Linked DNA regions of Mus musculus. Each later gene encodes a partner of the first gene's protein in a complex. Links are inferred from orthologs where the notes say so. Each region holds a gene or a part of one and is shown in the gene's direction. Other genes may lie near its edges.

Region 1 (3,636 bases):
TAGGATTGAAACCTCTATGTATTCAAATCTCTCTGAAATTCAGAGTCTGTTCCTCAGTAGGCCAGTAAGCTCATCTTTACTCACGTTCAGTTTCATAATGGGCCACTCTTTCTCTCTTCTCATGTCATATAGTAGAAGTGGCCTCTTCATTTTTCTTAGTATTCTCAGTGCCTGGCATATTGTAAGGAAATTAGTAATTGTCTACTGACATAGGACTCTGAATGTGTCAGAGTCAGGTTAGTTCTTGGGTAGGAGAAATACATAATTCTTTTGAGAAAATGAATGCATTTAAGTGTGTGAGAAGAAATGAATGAACACAGCAAGAAGTTTCACTGAAAATACTCGTTGTATTAATACTTGTTGTGTAAGTGTATAAAACAGTTGTAAACACTAACATACAAAGACAGTTTTTTCTTTATACAAGTAATTTGGTTTTCTGTGTGATTCTTTGTCCTTCAGTTTGCTGTACACAATGGCATCTTAGAAGTGATTGTGTTTCTTATGGATCCATTGCAGTCCCTCTCAGCATTCTGACTTAACATTGAAACTTTGTGCCTCAAAACTTACCTAGGGATTTGCCTATCTGTTCATTGGATGTTTGTTTTTTCTTTGTGGTGGTACAAAATTTTGGCTGCTGTAGGGTTCAGCATATAATTTTGAAACAATTAAGTTTAAATTATTTCTACAGAGAACACATATACATACCCACATCATAATTTGTTTATGTCTTAAATAATTTTTATTGTGCCTATTTGTACCCTTTTTAATGTTTTTTTTTTCTCCCTTAAATGTATATGTATATTTAGATAGAAAATCTTCAGGAACAACTAAGAGATAAAGAAAAGCAGATGAGCAGCTTGAAAGAGCGAGTCAAGTCTCTGCAGGCGGACACCACTAACACAGACACAGCTCTGACAACTTTGGAGGAGGCTCTTGCAGATAAAGTAAGTGACTGGCCTGACTCTTCCCAGACCTTGTGTTCTGTTTTCTCATTATCCTAGAATTGGCTATAACTACAGAGGCAATCCTTTCATAGGAGCTTCCATGCTGCTGTGCATAGTATAAAGTGGAAAGACAGTCTAGTTACTCTTAGATCTTAGCACCAACTTCTGGGCAAGATTGGTTGTACACCAAAAGACCATAGCCACATTTCCTCAAGATTCAGCACGTGTGTCCTATTTTTCTGCTTTCTAAAGGAAACAAAAATTCATTATTTGATTAGCTAGATGTGCAGGAGATTCGACATTGATCATCAGGGTGTTATACCAGACTAGCTCTGCTCTGTTGCCTTCCCACCATATGACATATTCATAAATTTTATTCATGAATGTTACATATGTACTCATTTTCTAGCATTGGCTTACTCCTAAAATAATTTTTAAATTTTGCTTGTATTTGTGTCTGACCATCACATGTGTACCTTGTGCCCCAAAGGCCAGAGAGGGCATTGGATCCCCTGGTACTGGAGTTGGAGACAGTTGTGAGCTGCCAGGTGGATGCTGGGAACTGAACCTGAGTCCTCTGGAAGAGTGGTCAGTGCCCTTAACCACTGACCCATCTCTCTAGCACTTTGGCTCATATTACATTGTTTTATCTTTATGAGCATACTTGACATTTTAAGGAATGAAAAAGTGGTGAGAATGTATTTTAGAGAATCTCTTTATGGTGTTTTTTTTTTTTGTTTCTTATTGTTCATTTTGGAGGGGGTATTGTTTTGTGATGAGGTCTCATGTGGCTTAGGCTAGCCTCAGGCTCGCTATGTAGCTCCGTGTCTTAGTCAGGTTCTGTAGAGGAACAAGTGATGAATAAATCTATCATCCATCTGTCTGTCTATATCTATATATCTATATATCATCCATCTATATAATGAGGTTTTATTAGAGTGGCGTACAGGCTGTGGTTCAACAATGAGGGTCTACCAGTGGAAGGTCCAAGAATCTGGTGGTTTTCAGTCCACAATGCTGAATGTTTCAGGTGGTCTTCAGTATATGCCAGAATCCTGAAGAAGAAATGGACTTGCTAGTGAGAGTGAGAACAAGTAGGAAAAGAGAGCTAGATGTGCCCAGCCATTTGGGTTTTAGTTAATTCCAGATGTAGTCAAGTTGGCAGCCAACACTAGCCATTACACACAGGGTGGCCTTTAACTCTTGATTCTCCCACCTCCAAGTCCCAAGTGTTGGCATTAAAAGGTTATCTCATGATGCTGTACTTTCTTTGAGATATTTAATTGGATTTTTTTTAGAGGCATAAGGCAACATTTGTTAGGTCTTTTGGACTCAGAATGCTTTGATCTGCTTGCTAGGATGAATGCATGTTCTCTGAGTATGTTTAGAAACATTACCCAGAACTATACTTAAATTGCTTTAGCCTTCACGCTTCCTGAGTAGAAGTTTAAAATTTTCTATCACTTCTCTATCCTCTTATCTAAGATCAGTTTATCCTAGCTCCCCCTACTTTTGATATATGGGTTATGAGTAATTCCTATTGTTTTATAGGTAGTCTGTGTCACTATTATTATAGTGAAGAAATATGTGTTATTTTATTGTCCTAGGGACATACACATAAGTTTCTAGTTATTTGGAAATTGAATTTTAATGAAAATGTTTCAAGAGAATGTGTTAGTGCTATCTAATGATATTTCAAATGATTAGAAACTGACTCTTGGTATTTAAAAATAAGCAAAGTTGGAAATTACTGGTTGCAGTAGGAAAAATGAGTTCTTTGAGAACTGAATCCTTGAAGGGCTTACCATTGTCTTTTTGATAGATGATAGTAGTGTTGAGTTTGTCAGAGGAATCAGAGCATGTTCACGATGTAAGTACAGATGGGAGCATCCTCATGTCTTGGTGTGCTTTCTTTTAGGAACGGACAATTGAACGCTTAAAGGAGCAGCGGGACAGGGATGAGCGGGAGAAGCAGGAGGAGATTGATACCTACAAAAAAGACCTCAAAGACCTGAGAGAGAAAGTCAGCCTGCTACAAGGAGACCTCTCAGAAAAGGAGGTGAGGCTCACCAAATTAGTCGTTGCATGTTTATATCTGTTGCTGGCTGCACAGTGCAGCACGGAGGAAAGATTTTCTTAGTGTCCTGTGGCAGGTGTTCCAGGGACTCAGGAAGCTGTGAGGGCTACAGAAGATTGGCTCATTTATTTCATACTCTTTTACTGCCTTGTTCTCCGTTCTAAGAGTTGGTTTCTTTCTTCTTCTTCTTCCTTTTTAGTTTTTTTTAAATTAGTATTATTTATTTATTTTATGTATATGAGTACATTGCAACTGTCTTCAGACACACCAAAAGAGAGCATCAGATCCCATTACAGAGGGTTGTAAACCACCATGTGGTTGCTGGGATTTGAACTCAGGACCTCTGGAAGAGTAGTCAGTGCTCTTAACCTCTGAGCCATCTCTGCAGCCCAAGAGTGGGTTTCTTATGGGATCCCAATCTATATGCAGATCCTAGAATGGCTGAAGCCCAGTTACATTTGGAGAAACACTGCTAACAGTAAGGAAGGTGACAGAAAAGGAGGAAATCTAATCAGAACCACTATTAGAAACATCATAGCCTATAACTTGATTCACTTCGTGAGTTTTGTTCTTATTTTTTAATAATCCTATCAGAATCACTTAAGTAGCTACAAA
Region 2 (3,636 bases), about 27 Mb from region 1:
ATCTGTTGCCCTGGCTGCAGTAGATCTCCTGGGAGGCCACTAAAGACTGTAGGGTCTTTAGTGGAGCAGTTGTACAACGGCTCTGAGTGCAGCTGATCCGCACATAGCTCATCTTGGTGTTTTTCTGTAGAAAGTGTTCTCAGTAACTCCTGTTGGTTCTTCCACAATTTCTTTTGAATTGAAAACAGGGATTTTAGAAAGTAACTTTCCAATCTCGAACTGAAAATTAGGTTTTTCTTGGTTAAATGTTTGTTGCCAGGGAATTTCCATATTGATTGTATGCACAGTTGCTCAGTACTGACTATACGCTGCAAGACTGGGCTGTTTCTCATTTCCTACAGTGACCTGGATATGCCATTTGCCAAATGGACCAAGGAGCAGGTGTGTAGCTGGCTGGCAGAGCAAGGCTTGGGGTCCTACCTGAGTTCTGGCAAGCACTGGATTATATCTGGCCAGACCCTTTTGCAGGCTTCTCAGCAGGATCTGGAGAAGGTAACTGTTCCCATTCTCCTGTACGTAATAAGAAGAGGGGGGTGCGCATGTATAGCTGGAAATGCAGCTCAGGGGTAGTGCGCTTGTCTGACGTGTGAGAGCCCAAGGTTCAATCCCCAGCAACACCTACCCTCAGCCAGAGTCTTGATGTAGTATTGATCCTTTATCATCCTGAAACAGAGCCGGCTGAGTGGAACCCGTAATGAAAAGCATTAGCTTATGTAATTATATAGGTGCTATAGTGAATAGACTTCATAAAATGGATACAGTTCATACATCTCACTCATTTTGTAAACACACATTGACATATCTTTTTAATATAATATATGCAATTCAACTTCACAAAGGAATACTTTATATATTTTATGTTGTAATTCTCAAACACTGTACACAAAATAGAAGTCAAATCCCATTATGCATTCAACAGTTTCTTTCTTACAAATAAAATGAATTTATTTAGGCAGTGTCTAACATCCCACTGAGCCCATTGTGGTAGACTTGGGCCTTTTCTTCAGCAATGCTGTCCTGGCCTGAGGTTCATACTATAATTCAATATAGACTGGGTTATTAGCCTGAGGTAGTGTTCTAACTCAATGCAGGGCTGGTCTTGAAGGGAAGCTTCCTGGTGGAGGGTTCTTTGCTGGTGGATCCAACCCTGATGGACAAAATTCTAAGGCTCTGTTTATTGTTTCAGGAACTTGGCATCAAGCATTCACTGCATCGTAAGAAGCTCCAGCTGGCCCTGCAGGCCCTGGGATCTGAAGAAGAAACCAACTATGGGAAGCTAGACTTCAACTGGGTTACTAGTAAGAGGCCTTTATGCATGAAGAAGAATAAACATTGTCATATTTTCTCCTTGACAGTTAGGCAAGTTCATAGCTTGATAACGGCACTGGCTTTTCTCCTTTAGGATGGCTGGATGATATTGGCCTCCCTCAGTACAAGACCCAGTTTGATGAAGGGCGGGTGGACGGTCGAATGCTGCACTACATGACTGTGGTTAGTAGATCTCTGTTGGGGTGTTTCCTGTGAAGTGATGTTGTAACAGTTGGTACAGCTCTGAGATAATTAGAAACTTAAGCCAGGCAAAACTATATTTAGCCTAAGCTATCTAGAGGACTGAGGTAGTCAACAAGGTGAGTTCTGAAGTGTACACGTGGATGTTTGCGTTTTTATGGTGTGTGAGTTCTGTCACAGAATTGCTACTAGATAGAAAGGGTTGAAGCCCTGGTCATTTCTACATCACGCGTTCCAGAGTTACGAAGCTCTAGTTTGCCCTGGTGTGCACAAGGACCAGCCTCCTCCCTTGCCTTCCTTCGCACGGCTGCTCCCTGAAATCCTCTTCACATCAGTCCCGAGGGCAGGGGCTGCGGGGTTAGAGGAGGCGGGAGGCTGAACCTGCACTGCTCCCTTCTCTACTGGGTGTTTTCAGGCTTCCAGCCAGCGTAGGAAGACCGTAGGAAGACTGTTCCTTATGTATAACAGCAGGGGAGATGGCTGCCAGGAGAGCCTTGTTCTGGATTCCACAGTGTGATTAATGTTTTATAGAAGATCCTTTTATTTAAAGAACACGTTGTCAGGTAGGGAGCCCCATAGGTGTTTTCTTTGTTAAGTAAGGGGAAAGTTTAACCTGCTAATTCCATATTTTTTTTTTCATTGTGAAAGGAACTTGGAGCTGAGTTCATGGGATTTGTATTCTTTTATCATTGAGCCAAAGTACTTGCAAGCTTGGCGGGGACATCATGTAACCTTGCATGAGTGACCATAATGAGCTTGGCATAGTTTATAGCCGCTGTCTTTTTTAAGAACCACATTTATGGATTCTCAGTAACCCTTTAATACTATTACATCTCCATTCTTGAGACTAAGAGACAAGGAGCTGAGAAGTTGGGGAATGTAACCAGTTGTCCATGGTTACTAAGTAGCAGGAAGCCATAGAGAATTTGAACCTAGGCTGGTTCCAGGTCCTTCTTTGCATAGCGCACTATTCCACCTGGGACAAATACAGTGACATTTGACCTGCTTCTGCCCACGTCCATGGGGTCAGATGTCCCGAGGGAATGTGAGCAACCTCAACTCAAAAGTCACAGGAAGCACTTGTAAGACCTGCATGCCTGAAAGACATGGAGTGACACTGGAAAGAGTGACCTGTGATTCCTAAAAGGAAAGTCCCTGTTAGGATCTGGTTCCCTGGGTTGGCTCCAGGAACAGAAAAAGGATCTTAGTAGGAAACTGGCAAAAAACAGGAAGTAAAAAAACAGTTTGGGAGCCAGTGAGATGGCCAAACAGATAAAAGTGCTTGCCTTGCTAGCTTGACAGCATGAGTTCTATTCCTGTGACCCATGCCAAGGTGGAAGGTGAGGACTGGGGCCACAGAGTTGTCCCCTGACCTCTGTGTGTGTGTGTGTGTGTGTGTGTGTGTGTGTGTGTGTGTGTGTGTGTGAGGGGGGGAGTGAGAATGGTGTACATGTGAGCTTGATATGTGTGTGTATATGAGAGTGAGAAGAGCTTGATGTTTGTGATTGTGTGAGAGAGAGCTTTGTACATATGTGTGAACTTGGTGCATGGGGGGAAGACAGACAGACAGACAGAGGGGAAGAGAGGAAGAAGAAGAGGAGGAGGAAGAAGAGGAGAGGAGAACAGAGCTTGGTGTGTGTGTGTTTTCCTCCACACACACCATACACATGAACTAATGAAAACAATAAGCCTTAAAATTGGCAAAAGCTGAATAGAGTCTATACTAATTTTATTTGTGTTTCTTAATTTTGATGTGTGCCATAGTTTCATAAGATGTGAATATCAGGAGAAACTATGAAACACAGAATTCTACACTGTCTAGAAGCCCCTAAGTCTAAAATCATTTTAAAATAAACCATGTGTTTATTTATTTGCTATTTTTAAAAAATAAGATCTCACTGTGTAGCTCTGGCTGTCCTGGAACTCTCTATATAGCCCAGGCTGGCCTCAAACTCACAGAGATCTGCCTGTCTCTGCTGCCCTATTGCTGGGATTAAAGGCGTGCGCCAGAATGCCCAGACTTAAAAAGGGTTTCAAATGAAAGTAATCCTTGTAAAAAAGAAATCTTTCAAATATATTTCAGAAGTAATTAACATTTTATTTATATTGGAAACAGTACACATTTAG

The links. Proteins that work in one complex are often made in the same cells at the same time.
Region 2: Erc1 (region 1) and Ppfibp1 share a complex: the UniProt entries of both Homo sapiens proteins name them as parts of the cortical microtubule stabilization complex. The link is inferred for Mus musculus from reciprocal best matches to the Homo sapiens genes ERC1 and PPFIBP1.

Annotation. Positions count from the first base shown.
Region 1 is NC_000072.6:119,750,567-119,754,202, reverse strand, and holds part of Erc1 (ELKS/Rab6-interacting/CAST family member 1), read left to right. Parts: intron 1-806; coding exon 807-944; intron 945-2,862; coding exon 2,863-3,003; intron 3,004-3,636. UniProt on the Homo sapiens protein: Regulatory subunit of the IKK complex. Probably recruits IkappaBalpha/NFKBIA to the complex. May be involved in the organization of the cytomatrix at the nerve terminals active zone (CAZ) which regulates neurotransmitter release.
Region 2 is NC_000072.6:147,020,960-147,024,595, forward strand, and holds part of Ppfibp1 (liprin-beta-1), read left to right. Parts: intron 1-341; coding exon 342-492; intron 493-1,186; coding exon 1,187-1,298; intron 1,299-1,402; coding exon 1,403-1,491; intron 1,492-3,636. UniProt on the Homo sapiens protein: May regulate the disassembly of focal adhesions. Did not bind receptor-like tyrosine phosphatases type 2A.